2 linked regions of the Anolis sagrei genome follow. The protein of the gene in region 2 purifies or fractionates together with the protein of the main gene of each other region. This does not show direct contact. Links are inferred from orthologs where the notes say so. Each region holds a gene or a part of one and is shown on either strand. Other genes may lie near its edges.

What was found. Proteins that work in one complex are often made in the same cells at the same time.
Region 1: the proteins of DUSP9 (region 2) and PGRMC1 purify together in Homo sapiens (affinity purification with mass spectrometry; 3 studies listed by BioGRID). This does not show direct contact. The link is inferred for Anolis sagrei from reciprocal best matches to the Homo sapiens genes DUSP9 and PGRMC1.

Annotation. Positions count from the first base shown.
Region 1 is NC_090030.1:2,913,299-2,920,594, forward strand, and holds the start of PGRMC1 (membrane-associated progesterone receptor component 1), read left to right. Parts: upstream 1-4,271; 5' UTR 4,272-4,509; coding exon 4,510-4,834; intron 4,835-7,296. UniProt on the Homo sapiens protein: Component of a progesterone-binding protein complex. Binds progesterone. Has many reported cellular functions (heme homeostasis, interaction with CYPs). Required for the maintenance of uterine histoarchitecture and normal female reproductive lifespan.
Region 2 is NC_090022.1:177,537,124-177,544,036, reverse strand, and holds the start of DUSP9 (dual specificity protein phosphatase 9), read right to left. Parts: upstream 3,016-6,913; 5' UTR 2,709-3,015; intron 1-2,708. UniProt on the Homo sapiens protein: Inactivates MAP kinases. Has a specificity for the ERK family.

The sequences.
Region 1 (7,296 bases), on a different chromosome or scaffold from region 2:
GAATTGTAGTTCACCTCCATCCAGAGAGCACTGTGTCCTCAAACAAGGATGGATCTGGACCAAAGTTGTCACATATACTCAATATGCCCAAATGTGAACACCAGTGGAGTCTGGGGGAAAAGACCCTGACATTTGGGAGTTGTAGTTGCTGGGATTTATAGTTCACCTATAGTTCACCTATAATCAAAGAGCATTCTGAATTCCACCAAAGATAGAATTCAACCAAACTTGGCACACTGAACTTCCATGACCAAGAGAAAATACTGGAAGGGTTTGGTGGGCATTGACCTTGAGTTTTGGAGTTGTAGTTCACCTACATCCAGAGAGATCTGGACCAAACTTGGCACAAATACTCAATATGCTCAAATGTGAACACTGGTGGAGTTTGGGGAAACTAGACTTTGGCATTTGGGAGTTGTAGTTGCTGGGATTTATAGTTCACCTACAATCAAAAAGCATTCTGAACCCAGCCCACAATGGATCTGCACCAAACTTGGCACGCTACCTACATGGCCAACATTGAATACTGGTGGAGTTGGGGAGGGGGGCTGTTTTTGAATTCTGGGAGTTGTAGTTCACCAACACCAAAAAGGAAGAGGACGGGCAGAGAGATCTTCAGCCTCCTCTGCCAAAAATGTTCCTGAGACCATCAGAAATATGTGTTTTCTGATGGTATTTGACAACCCCTCTGAAACCCCCTTTGCGACCCCCCTTAGGGGTCCCGACCCCCAGGTTGAGAAACATTGTGCTATACATCTTTACCAGAGTAAACACTATGAATAATAACTTTCCATTTTAGTAGTGAATAAGGCCAGAGTTGGAGAAAGTTCCTTCTGGGGCCTAGAATTCTCAGAAATGTAGAGAATTCTGGGAGTTGTTGTCCAACCTCTGGAGTTGTTCAACCATTAAACCGGTTTGTGAAGTAACGAGGAAAACAGGAGTGGGTGGCAAATGATAATGGGCACAGTTGGGTTCAAAGCCAGAGAAAGCAGGACGGAGCTTGTGAGCTCCTTCATTCCCTTTCTCAGGAAGAAGGGAAAGGAGGGCCTGGCTGTGCCTGGAGCGATGTTGTCGCAATAGCATCATCCTTTCAGTCCCTTGGGAAACCTAAAGCCTGGATCCTATACATTTTCCGCCTTTCCACACTTTGATGTCTGAGTTTCATGTCTCAATTCAGACGTGGGATCATCAAATGTCAGAGCTGGAAGCAACAAGGACCAGGTTGTGGCACAGCTGGTTGGGAAGTCAACTGCATTAAAATCACTACTCATGACTTCAAAGCCAGCCCAGGCCAGAGTAAGCTCCCGACCATTTGTCTAGCTTGCTGTCGACCTTTGCTACCCGAAAGACAGTTGCATCTGTCATGTAGGAAATTTAGGTACCGCTTAGGCAGAGAGGCTAATTTAACTAATTTACAATGCCATAAAACTCTCCAGCAGTGTGCAAAAGAATGAGGAAGTACTCAATCAGTGCCACAAGTGGATGGTGAAGCGATAGCTCCTCCGGCGGCCGGAATTCGAAACATACCCTCATGAAGCTGGAAAGTTAAATAGCCTCTGTGTGTCTGTCTATATATATGTTGCGTGTCTATGGCATTGAATGTGTGACGGTGCGAGTGGCGCCACCTATGTATAGAACTGTTAGTTGTAAGATTTAAACTGTTGTATCATGCTTAATCCTGCCCCTTTTTTACCCTGCTTATGTATAGTTGTATGGATTGGTTGCTTGTAGCTGTCAATCAGTACTGTTTGGCTCCACCTCTTCCTGCAAGAGGGGAGAGCTTCCTTTTTCTTCTTCATTCTGCCATTAGAGTTTGTACCAGATGGACGTGAGTAAGAGACCTGACTCCAAAGGACCCTGATTTAAGTTACCTCTTAGCACCAGTTCTGAGGTTTTTACCCCTGGGACTCATGCTTTATGTCCAGATCATCCTGGATAACATTGAGGAGATCCCAAGCGCCTTCAAGCCAGTTCTTTTGGCACCAAAGGAAGATCCTGAATCTTCAAAACATAGGCCATCTGAACTGGGGTTGTGGTTTGCTCCCGCATTCACAGCCACTGAGGAAGGAGGAAACTGAGTGAGGCTTCTCAGCTTCAAACCCCTTGGACCCAGGACTAATTGAGACTGTAATGTATGTTTTCCTTCACCCCTCTAAAGTTTTCCAGCTCATTGCTTTGAAGAAATGACTTTGTGATCAATAAAACTTATCTTGAGCTATTTACAGTGTTTTGGGTTTTTGGGAGTTCCAGTTTCCTAAAGGAGGGCAAGAAGCAATCCCTTGGGGGAAAGGTGCGGCGTCCATCCCTCCTTCATTAAGAATAATAGCCCCCAAGCGCAAGGGCACAGAATGTTTGCCATGTAGATGTGCATTGTGATCTGCCCTGAGTCCTCTGCAGGGTGAGAAGGGAGGAATATATAAATACTGTAAAAAACAAACAAACAAGGGCCACCCTCTTCTGCCATGCAGTGTGATTTGGGAATGTCGGGCACCTCCTCTTTGGGCTTGGAGGCCTTGATCCCAGTTAGTATTTATTTATTTACTTTATTTACTTTAATTGTATATTGCACTCTCTCAGCCGGTAGGCGACTCAGTGTGGTTTACAACCAGGTCAATATACAAAGTGCACAACACTAGCATTTAAAAACAGCAACTAAGGCAACTACATCAATATAAGAGCACATCAATACATCAATATAACGTCAATACATTAGTATCCCTCCCAGTTCCTTTTCTTCTTCCTGGCTTGGAGAGCTTGGTCTCCTCTGGAGAGAGCGGCCTTGAGGAGGGGCACCTCGTTTGCACACAGCCTGCCAAGCCTCCTTTTTGGGTACCCCTTCTTCGGGCTTGGAGGCGCAGACCCAGAATAGTATCCCCACCCCCCGCTCCTCCTCTTCTTCCTGGCTTGGAGAGCCTTCCCTTCCCCAGAAAGAGCTGCGTTGGAGAGGGAGAGTTCTTTTGCAAAAGTGTGCCAAGCTTTACGCACGGCGCGCCTCCTTTTTGGGCACCCCTTCTTCGGGCTTGGGGGCGTTGATCCCGATTACTACCCCACCCAGTTCCTCCCCTTCCTCCTCTCTTCCTGGTTTAGAGACCTTTCTTTTCCTTGGAGAGGGAGAGTTCTTTTGCAAAACGCATGCCAAGCTCGACGCACGGCGCGCCTCCTTTTTGGGCACCTCCTCTTTGGGCTAGGAAGCCTTGATCCCGACTGCTATCCCTCCCAGTTCCTCCTCTTCCTACACTCTTCCTCCTCCTCTTCCTGGCTTGGAGACCCTTCCCTTTCCCCGGAAAGAGCTGCGTTGGAGAGGGACACCTCTTTTCCAAAAGTGTGCCAAGCTTTACGCACGGCGCGCCTCCTTTTTGGGCACCCCCTCTTTGGGCTTGGGGGCGCAGATCCCGATTGTTACCCCTCCCAGTTCCTTTTCCTCTTCCTCCTCTCTTCCTCCTCCTCTTCCTGGCTTGGAGAGCCTTCCTTTTCCTGGAGAGAGCGACGTTCAAAAAAGGAGAGCTCTTTTGCAAAAAGCGTGCCAAGCTTTACGCACGGCGCGCCTCCTTTTGGGCACCTCTTCTTTGGCTTTGTGGGGACGTTGATCCCGACTGCTACCCCCCCCCCCCCTTCCTCCAGTTCCTCCTCTCTTCCTCCTCCTCTTCCTGGCTTGGAGACCCTTCCCTTCCCCGGAAAGAGCAGCCTTGAAGAGGAGCAGCTTTTGCAAAAAGCGTGCCAAACTTTACGCACGGCGCGCCTCCTTTTTGGGCACCTCCTCTTTGGGCTTGGAAGCCTTGATCCCGATTGCTATTCCTCCCAGTTCCTCCTCTTCCTACACTCTTCCTCCTCTCTTCCTGGCTTGGAGACCCTTCCCTTCCCCAGAAAGAGCTGCGTTGGAGAGGGACACCTCTTTTCCAAAAGTGTGCCAAGCTTTACGCACGGCGCGCCTCCTTTTTGGGCCCCCCCTCTTCGGGCTTGGAGGCGTAGATCCCGATTGCTATCCCTCCCAGTTCCTCCTCCTCTTCCTCCTCTCTTCTTCCTCCTCCTCTTCTTGGCTTGGAGAGCTTTGTCTTCTCTGGAGAGAGCGGCGTTGAGGAGGGAGGGACAGCTCTTTGGCTAACAGCCGGCCAAGCTTTACGCACCAAGCTTGACGCACGGCTCGCCTCCTTGTGGGCCCCTCCTCTTCGGCCTTGGGGGGCGTAGATCCCGATTGCTATCCCTCCCCGTTCCTCCTCCTCTTCCTCCTCTCTTCCTCCTCCTCTTCCTGGCTTGGAGAGCCTTCCCTTCCCCGGAAAGAGCGGCGTTGGAGAGGGAGAGCTCGTTTGCAAAACTGTGCCCAGCTTGACGCACGGCGCGCCTCCTTGTGGGCAGCTCCTCTTCGGCCTTGGGGGGCGTAGATTCCGATTGCGACCCCTCGCAGCTCCTCCTCCTTGTCCTCCTGCTCTTCCTCCCCCTTTTCCTGGCTTGGCGAACCTTTCCTTCCTTCTTTCCCCGGGTTCTCTCTCCGCTTGGTCAGCAGCATCATCCATGGCGCAGGAGGAGGAAGGCGCAGGCGGGGAGAGCGGCGGGGGCGGGGGCGGGGGTCTCCTGCTGGAGCTGGTGAGCTCCCCGCTGAACCTGAGCCTGCTGGGCCTGTGCCTCTTCCTGCTCTACCAGATCCTGCGCGGGGACCGGGGCCGGGCCCAGCCCGAGGGCGAGGAGGACGCGCCCCCGCCCCTGCCCAAGCTCCGCCGCCGGGACTTCACCCTGGCCGAGCTGCGCCCCTTCGACGGCGTCCAGAACCCCCGCATCCTCATGGCCATCAACGGGAAGGTCTTCGACGTCTCCCGCGGGAGGAAGTTCTACGGGCCCGGTGAGAAAGAGAGGAGGGAGAGGAGGGAGAGGGGCTTGGGTTGGGGAAGGGGGCCTGCGCCTTCCCCCCTGCCCACATCCCGTTCCAAACATGGGCTTCAGGCAAGGACGGAGGGAGTGCCATGGGCAGGCTCGGGTCTTGGGGTTTGGGAGGCTGGGCCCTCCCCAGGTCACCCACAAGACCAGTCCTGTAGGTTTGCCCTGAAGTTGGGTTTGTATGGAAGTCGGAACTGGGGCATTTCCAACCATATATCTACTTGTAACTTGGGGACTGTCTCTCTCTGTGTGTGTGTGTGTGTGTGTGTGTTTGTGACACAGATCCAGTTCCAAACATGGGTTTCAGGCAAGGACAGAGGGAGGGTCATGTGCAGGCTCAGGTTTTGGGGTTTGGTAGGCAGGGCCCTCCCCAGGTCACCCACAAGACCAGTCCTGTAGGTTTGCCCTGAAGCTGGGCTTGTATGGAAGTCGGAACTGGGGCATTTCCAACCATATATCTACTTGTAACTTGGGGACTGTCTCTGTGTGTATGTGTGTTTGTGGCACAGATCCAGTTGCAAACATGGGTTTCAGGCAAGGACAGAGGGATCCCCAAGTCACCACCAAGATCAGCCCTGAAGGTTTTGCCCTGAAGTTGGGTGGGTATGGAAGTCCGAACTGGGAAATTTCCAGCCATATCTATACTTGTCTTGGGATTTGATAGCCAGGGCTCTCCCCAAATTCAAACAAGACTAGTCCTGTAGGTTTGCCCTGAAGCTGGGTTTGTATGGAAGTCGGAACAGGGGCATTTCCAGCCATATATACACTTGTAACCGGGGCGGAGGGGGGGGGGCTATGGGCCTGGGTTGGGGAATTGGATCTGCGCCTTCTTCCCTGCCCACATCCATTTGGAAACATGGGTTTCAGGCAAGGACACAGGGAGTGCCAAGATACGAACAAGACCAGTCAGGTAGGTATGCCCTGAAGTTGGGTTTGTATGGAAGTCGGAACTGGGGCATTTCCAGCCATATCTATACTTGTCTTGGGATTTGATAGGCAGGGCCCTCCCCAAATTCAAACAAGACTAGTCCTGTAGGTTTGCCCTGAAGCTGGGTTTGTATGGAAGTCGGAACTGGGGCATTAGACAAGTATATACATGGTTGGAAATGCCCCAGTCCTTACTTCCATACAAACCCAACTTGTCTAGGGATTTGGTAGGCAGGCCATCCCCAAGTCACCACCAAGATCAGTCCTGTAGGTCTGCCCAAAAGTTGGGTTTGTATGGAAGTCCGAACTGGGGCATATCCAGCCATATATATACTTGTCTTGGGATTTGGTAGGCAGGGCTGTCCCCAAGATACGAACAAGATCAGTCCTGTAGGTCTGCCCAGAAGTTAGGTTTGTATGGAAGTCCGAACCGGGGCATTTCCAGCCATATATATACTTTTCTTGGGATTTGGTAGGCAGGACCCTCTCCAAATTACGAACAAGATAGGTTTGCCCTGAAGCTGGGTTTGTATAAAAGTCAGAACAGGGGCATTTCCAGCCATGTATACACTTGTAATCTGTGTGTGTGTGTGGGAAGAGGGGCCTGGGTTGGGAAAGGAGACCTACGCCTTCTTTCCTGCACAGATCCAGTTGCAAACATGGGTTTCAGGCAAGGACAGAGGGAGTGTCATGGGCAAGCTTGGGTCTTGGGATTTGGTAGGCAGGGCTGTCCCTGAGTTACGAACAAGACCAATCCTGTAGGTTTGCCTTGAAGCTGGGTTTGTATGGAAGTCCGAACTGGGGCATTTCCAACCATATATCTACTTGTAACTTGGGGACTGTCTCTGTGTGTGTGTGCGGCACAGATCCATTTGCAAACATGGGTTTCAGGCAAGGACAGAGGGAGTGCCATGGGCAAGCTCGGGTCTTGGGGTTTGGTAGGCAGGGCCATCCCCAAGTCACCACCAAGATCAGCCCTGAAGGTTTTGCCCTGAAGTTGGGTGGGTATGGAAGTCGGAACTGGGGCATTTCCAGCCATATCTATACTTCTCTTGGGATTTGGTAGGCAGGGCCCTCCCCAAATTCAAACAAGACTAGTCCTGTAGGTTTGCCCTGAAGCTGGGTTTGTATGGAAGTCGGAACTGGGGCATTAGACAAGTATATACATGGCTGGAAATGCCCCAGTCCTGACTTCCATACAAACCCAACTTGTCTTGGGATTTGGTAGGCAGGCCATCTCCAAGTCACCACCAAGATCAGTCCTGTAGGTCTGCCCAGAAGTTAGGTTTGTATGGAAGTCCGAAGTGGGGCATTTCCAGCCATATATATACTTGTCTTGGGATTTGGTAGGCAGGAACCTCTCCAAATTACGAACAAGATAGGTTTGCCCTGAAGCTGGGTTTGTATGAAAGTCGGAACAGGGGCATTTCCAGCCACATATATCTACTTAGACAAGTATATATATATATGGCTGGAAATGCCCCGGTTCCGACTTCCATA
Region 2 (6,913 bases):
GGGGCACACAAGGCCAAGTCACTTGTAGCAAACTGGAACTGCATGTTTATTATATGCATCTATCATATTCAAAGCCACCCCTCTCCCGATTCACCTCCTTTCCCCCTACATCAGAATTAGAATATAGGTTGGGGATATGGGCACAGCAAGGGATTTTGGAGCTGTGGGCATATTTATTTTTGATTTGTGGTTCTCTGAGACATGAGACAAGGGCTTTCTCTGAGTAAACAGGCTGACCGACAGCGACTGGCCCAAGGTCACCTTATGGGCTTCATAACACCGTGTATCTGTCCAGTTGTATCTCAACACTTTAACTCTGCCCAATGCTGAAGTAAAGGTAAAGGTTTTCCCCTGACATTAGGTCTAGTGGTGTCCCACTCTGTGCGGTGGTGCTCATCTTCATTTCTAAGCCAAAGAGCCGGCGTTGTCCATAGACGCCTCCAAGGTCATGTCGCCGGTATGACTGCATGGAGTGCAGTTACCTTCCCGCTGAAACGGTACCTATTGATCTACTCACATTTGCATGCTTTCGAACTGCTAGGTTGGCAGAAGCTGGGACTAACAACAGGAGCTTACCCCGCTCCCTAGATTCAAACCACTGACCTTCCAGTCAGCCAGTTCAGCAGCTAAGCAGTTTAACCCGCTGCGCTACCAGGGACTGCCCAACATTCGTTCCCTTTAATTCCACTTCCCTCTTGACAGTGAATCGGGGACTAGATCCCTCTATTGTTGGTTGGAGTCAACCAAGCATGACTTGAAAAGATTCCAAATAAATCCCCCTAAAAGCAAGCTGTGATGTTGCCATATTACATAAGGGACACCATTTGACTAGCGTTGTATACTACATAACTTGAGCAGCTATGGATTTTGGTACCATGGGCTTAGAGATGCGTGATCCGCCTGGTGTTTCATGATGGATGGAAAGGTAAACAGGGCTTATGTCTTGAAGGCCCCAGATCACTGTCAAGGCTTAAAGAGACAGAAAACACAAAAGGCCAAAGGTTCCTTCAATGTACAGCAACAGAGGTGTCTTAAGGGCCACTATATACATATGTCAATACATTGCATTGTTTATGTATTATTTATTTATTTACAGTATTTATATACCCCCCTTCTCTCCCCTGGGGGGACTCAAAGCAGTTGTGCAGTGCAATGTGTTGACATATCTATCTATCTATCTATCTATCTATCTATCTATCTATCACTGGGAGCCCCCAGTGGCACAGTGGGTCAAAGCGCTGAGCGAAAGGTCGCAGGTTTGAATCCGGGAGCGGGGGTGGGCTCCTGCTGTTAGCCCAGCTTCTGCCAACCTAGCAGTTCGAAAACATGCAAATGTGAGGAGATCAATAGGTACCGCTCCAGCGGGAAGGTAACGATGCTGCATGCAGTCATGCTGGCCACATGACCTTGGAGGTGTCTATGGACAACGCCGGCTCTTCGGCTTAGAAATGGAGTTGAGCACCAACCCCTCCAGTCATTTCCAACTCCCCAGAGTTGGAAACAACTGGACTTAATGTCAGGGGAAAACCTTTACTTAGCACAGACCTCTGGGAGGCCAGAGATTGCTCATGTGGCAGAAAGGCACAAAGACTGACTATCCTTGCAAGGAAATACTTGGAGAGTAACTGGCGCAAAGAAATGTTTAATCCGTTTCATCAGAGCCAGCAATGAAGTTCAATAAAGCTGATGCTAAAAATGGCTTTCTCTCGGTCAGTTTCCAAGACACTACAGGGCTGCCTTAGGTGTTTTTATTCTGAAACAGACCAAGATGGCAGCCTTGGGATGCTTACCTTGCAAAGGGATTGCTCCTCCCTAAGGCCCTTTCTACACTGCCATACAAAATCCAGATTATTTGCTTTGAACTGGATTATCAGGCAGTGTAGACTCATATAATCCTGTTCCAGAAGCGACTTGCAGTTTCTCAACGACAAAAAAATAAATCGATCTGCTTTGCTCATCTGAGCTCCCTCTGTCAGCTCCAGCTCCCCATGTGGGGACATGAGAGAAGCCTCCCACAAGGATGGTAAAAACATCAAAACATTCAGGGCAACGTCCTTGCAGGTGGCCAATTCTCTCACAGCAGAAGCGACTTGCAGTTTCTCAACGACAAAAAAAAATAAATCGATCTGCCTTGCTCATCTCTATGAGCTCCAGCTCCTCATGCGGGACATGAGAGAAGCCTCCCAGAAGGATAGTAAAAACATCAAATCATCCAGGCATCCCCTGGGCAACGTACTTGCAGATGGCCAATTCTCTCACACCAGAAGCGACTTGCAGTTTCTCAACGACAAAATAATAATAATAATCTGGATTATATGGCAGTGTAGAAGGGGCTTATGTTGTGGGCCAGTATCATACAGTGCCCACATCAGACAAACCATGTCCTTCTTTAGGCCTTCAGCATATCTCTATGGCATTCTCAGGCCAGGAGCCATTCATTTCAATAGGCCTTGCTATTGCCTGCATTTTCTCAGTCTGTAAAGAGAGCCAAAGGAATGCCATGCATTATGATCATCCATCTCTGAAGCAGGGAATACTACAACTATCTCCTCCACAGATTCCTTATACACAGGCCTTTCCAACCTTCAGGTTACTGGGAATTGAAGTCCCAAACACAGAAGAGGCAAAGCACTGGGGGGGGGGGGGGGGGGAGGCGCTCAGGAAGCCCCGCAAGAGGAGGATCCCCGGATGAGGGGCTGCTCTCTTACCCTGCCGCTTTGGCGACGCCGGTTCCGGTGCCATGCTTCCATCCCGGCTCCGATCCGCAGTCCTCTGCAGCAGGGCTTCGGGGAAAGGCCAGCCGGAGGGAGGAAGGGAGGAGAGAGAGGCAGCGCGCCCTTCCTGCAGCCGCAACAACAGCACCGGCTTGGCCTTGCAATGAAGGCAACGTGAAGTGGGGTGTTTGGGTGTTATTTCACTTAGGATCCCCACGGGAAGGGAGAAGAGGCGGCATGGCTCCCTGCAGCGGCGTTTCCCGCGCTCTGGCTCCGCCAACACGTCCGCCTCCGCCGCTGTCTCGGGGGCCACTGGCATGCTCCACGTGGTGGCTGTGTACAGCCCCGGGGAGGCCACGCCCACCGGCCTCCTGATTGGCCCCCCGGTGTCTGCTCGGCAGAAGGCGGGGCGAAGGCTACGGCAGGGCTAGTGCGCCTGCGCGGGAAGGAAAAGAGTCGTGCTGGTTCCACAGTTGGTCCTCCATATTCTCAAGTGGCTAAGGACACCTTGGAAAACCGAACATATCAATCAGGCCCCTTCTACACTCCCATATAATCCAGATCATCTAACCATTATCTGCTTAGAACTGGATTATATGAGTCTATACTGCCAGATAATCCAGTTCAATGCAGATAATCTGAATCTTGTATGGCTGTGTAAATCCAGCCTTAGGCCCCTTCTACACTGACACAGCCTTTGACTGTGTGGATCATAATAAATTGTGACAAGTTCTTGGTGGGATGGGCATACCAAGCCACCTTGTCTCTCTCCTGAGGAATCTGTACAAGGACCAAGTAGCAACAGTCAGAACTGACCACGGAACAACAGACTGGTTCAAGATTGGGAAAGGCGTACGGCAAGGCTGCATCCTCTCACCCAACCTTTTTAACTTGTATGCAGAACACATCATGAGGTGTGTGGGGCTTGAGGAATGCAAAGCTGGGGTGAAAATTGCTGGAAGAAACATTAACAACCTCAGATATGCAGATGACACCACTCTGATGGCCGAAAGCGAGGAGGAGCTGAGGAACCTTCTAATCAAGGTGAAAGAAGAAAGCGCAAAAGCCGGGTTGCAGCTAAACATCAAAATAACCAAGATTATGGCAACAAGAATGATTGACAACTGGGAAATAGAGGGAGAAAACGTGGAGGCCGTGACAGACTTTGTATTTCTAGGCACAAAGATTACTGCAGATGCAGACTGTGGCCAGGAAATCAGAAGACGCTTACTTCTTGGGAGGAGAGCAATGTCCAGTCTCGATAAAATAGTAAAGAGTAGAGACATCAGACTTGCAACAAAGATCCGCCTCGTCAAAGCCATGGTATTCCCTGTAGTCACCTAGGGATGTGAGAGCTGGACCTTAGGGAAGGCTGAGCGAAGGAAGATAGATGCTTTTGAGCTGTGCTGTTGGAGGAAAGTCCTGAGAGTGCCTTGGACTGCGAGAAGATCCAACCAGTCCACACTTCAGGAAATAAAGCCCGGCTGCTCACTGGAGGGAAGGATACTAGAGACAAAGTTGAAGTACTTTGACCACATCATGAGGAGACAGCAAAGCCTGGAGAAGACAATGATGCTAGGGAAAGTGGAAGGCAAAAGGAAGAGGGGCCGACCAAGGACAAGATGGATGGATGGCATCCTTGAAGTGACTGGACTGACCTTGAAGGAGCTGGGGGTGGTGACGGCCGACAGGGAGCTCTGGCGTGGGCTGGTCCATGAGGTCACGAAGAGTCGGAGACGACTGAACGAATGAACAACAAGGACACCTTGGAAAACCGACCATATCAATCAGGCCCCTTCTACACTGCCATATAATCCAGATCATCTAACCATTATCTGCTTAGAACTGGATTATATGAGTCTATACTGCCAGATAATCCAGTTCAATGCAGATAATCTGGATCTTGTATGGCTGTGTAAATCCAGCCTTAGGCCCCTTCTACACTGCCATATAATCCAGATCTTCTAAGCAGATAATCCGCATTATCTGCTTTGAACTGGATTATATGTCGGGACCCCTGGAGGGGTCATGAGGGAATGTCAGAGGGGTCACTTAAGATCACCAGAAAACACAGTATTTTCTGTTGGTCATGGGGGTTCTATGTGGGAAGTTTGGCCCAGTTCTCTCGTTGGTGGGGTTCAGAATGCTCTTTGATTGTAGGTGAACTACAACTCCCAAAATGTCAAGGACTATTTTCCCCAAACTCCACCAGTGTTCACATTTGGGCATATTGGGTATTTGTGCCAAATTTGGTCTAGTGAATGAAAATACATCCTGTCGATCAGATATTTACATTACAATTGATAACAGTAGCAAAATGACAGTTATGAAGTAGGAAGGAAAATAATTTTATGGTTGGGGTGCCACCACAACATGAGGAATTGTATTAAGGGGTCACAGCATGAGGAAGGTTGAGAACCCCTGACCTAGAGGTCTAAAGTTTGTCCATGCCTGGTGTAGGCACACTCTATTAGGGAGCTTTCCAGGGTGCTGAACCTTGACTACCAAAATAGATTCATCACCCACTTTAGCTCATTTAAAAAGAGAAGAATGCACCTATGATGGTATCTCCCTCCAAAGAGACTAGGCAAGATGTATAATTGCACTGACAAATGTTGGAAATATGAGAAAGAAAGAGGCCCATTTTACCACACGTGGTGGACATGTAACAAAGTAAACAACTATTGAAAACAGATTTGTGCATATCTCGAAAAGATGTTAAACACAAATTCCAAAATGACACCACAAATGTACCTTTTGAACATGCTTGATGGAGAACTAGAAAGAACATTTAGGGGAAAAATTGTTCTACATGACAGTCGCAGCTCGAATAGTATAGGCCAGATACAGGAAAACCTCAGAGATACCTCCCTTAGAAGAATGGGAAAAATACATTACAGATTTGCTGATAATGGATAAACCCTTGGCAGCCACCTCTCCACCAAAGTCAACATTGACACCGAAATACAACAGTGCCTGAGCTCTGCGAGTGCAGCATTTTTCCGAATGAAGCAGAGAGTGTTTGAGGACGGGGACATCCATAGGGATATCAAGGTGATTGTTTATAAAGCTATTGTACTCCCAACCCTGCTATATGCCTGCGAAACATGGACTGTCTACAGATGTCACACGCAACTTCTGGAATGATTCCATCAGTGCTACCTCCAAAAAATCCTGGAAATCTCTTGGGAAGACAAGCGGACAAATGTCAGCATGCTGGAAGAAGCAAAGACCACCAGCACTGAAGCAATGGTCCTCCATCAATTCTGCTGGACTGGCCACGTTGTCCGGATGCCTGACCACCGTCTCCCAAAGCAGTTGCTCTACTCCAAACTCAAGAACGGAAAATGGAAAGTTGGTGGGCAGGAAAAGAGATTTAAAGATGGGCTCAAAGCCAACCTTAAAAACTCTGGCATAGACACTGAGAACTGGGAAGCCCTGGCCTGGGAGCACTCCAGCTGGAGGTCAGATGTGACCAGCAGTGCTGCAGAATTTGAAGAGGCACGAATGGAGGGCGAAAGAGAGAAACGTGCCAAGAGGAAGGCGCATCAAGCCAACCCCAATTGGGACTGCCTTCCACCTGGAAACCAATGCCCTCACTGCGGGAGATTTTGCAGATCAAGAATAGGGCTCCACAGTCACCTACAGACCCACCTTGGAAGATTATCCTACTCGGACAATGAGGGATCACCTAAGTAAGAAGTAATGGATAAAATAACTGTACCATTAAGAAGAGAACTATTAGAAAACAATGTTAATGATTGGCAACCAATGCTTCAACATCTTAATGTAAAATCAAACGAAAAATGTATATAAGACTGTAGACAAGGAGGAAGCAGATATTAAATGAAAGCCTATGATATTCATATGTACTATTTAAATAGAAGACTATGACCCCTTAAAGAAAATATATCATCTGAGAAATGATTTTGGAATACTAATAACTGGAAAGCATTGCACTGTACGCAAGAAACACACATGTATGTCTATTTAAATAAAAAATAAAAAATAAGAGAAGAATATAAGCCCAGAGAAAATTTTTTCTCCCCACTGGGGCCCCTTCCACATAGCTGAATAAACCCCACATTATCTGCTTTGAACTGCAATATATGGCAGTATGGACTCAGATAACCCAGTTCAAAGCTGATGTTTTGGATTTTCTGCCTTGATATTCTGGGTTATATGGCTGGGTGGAAGGG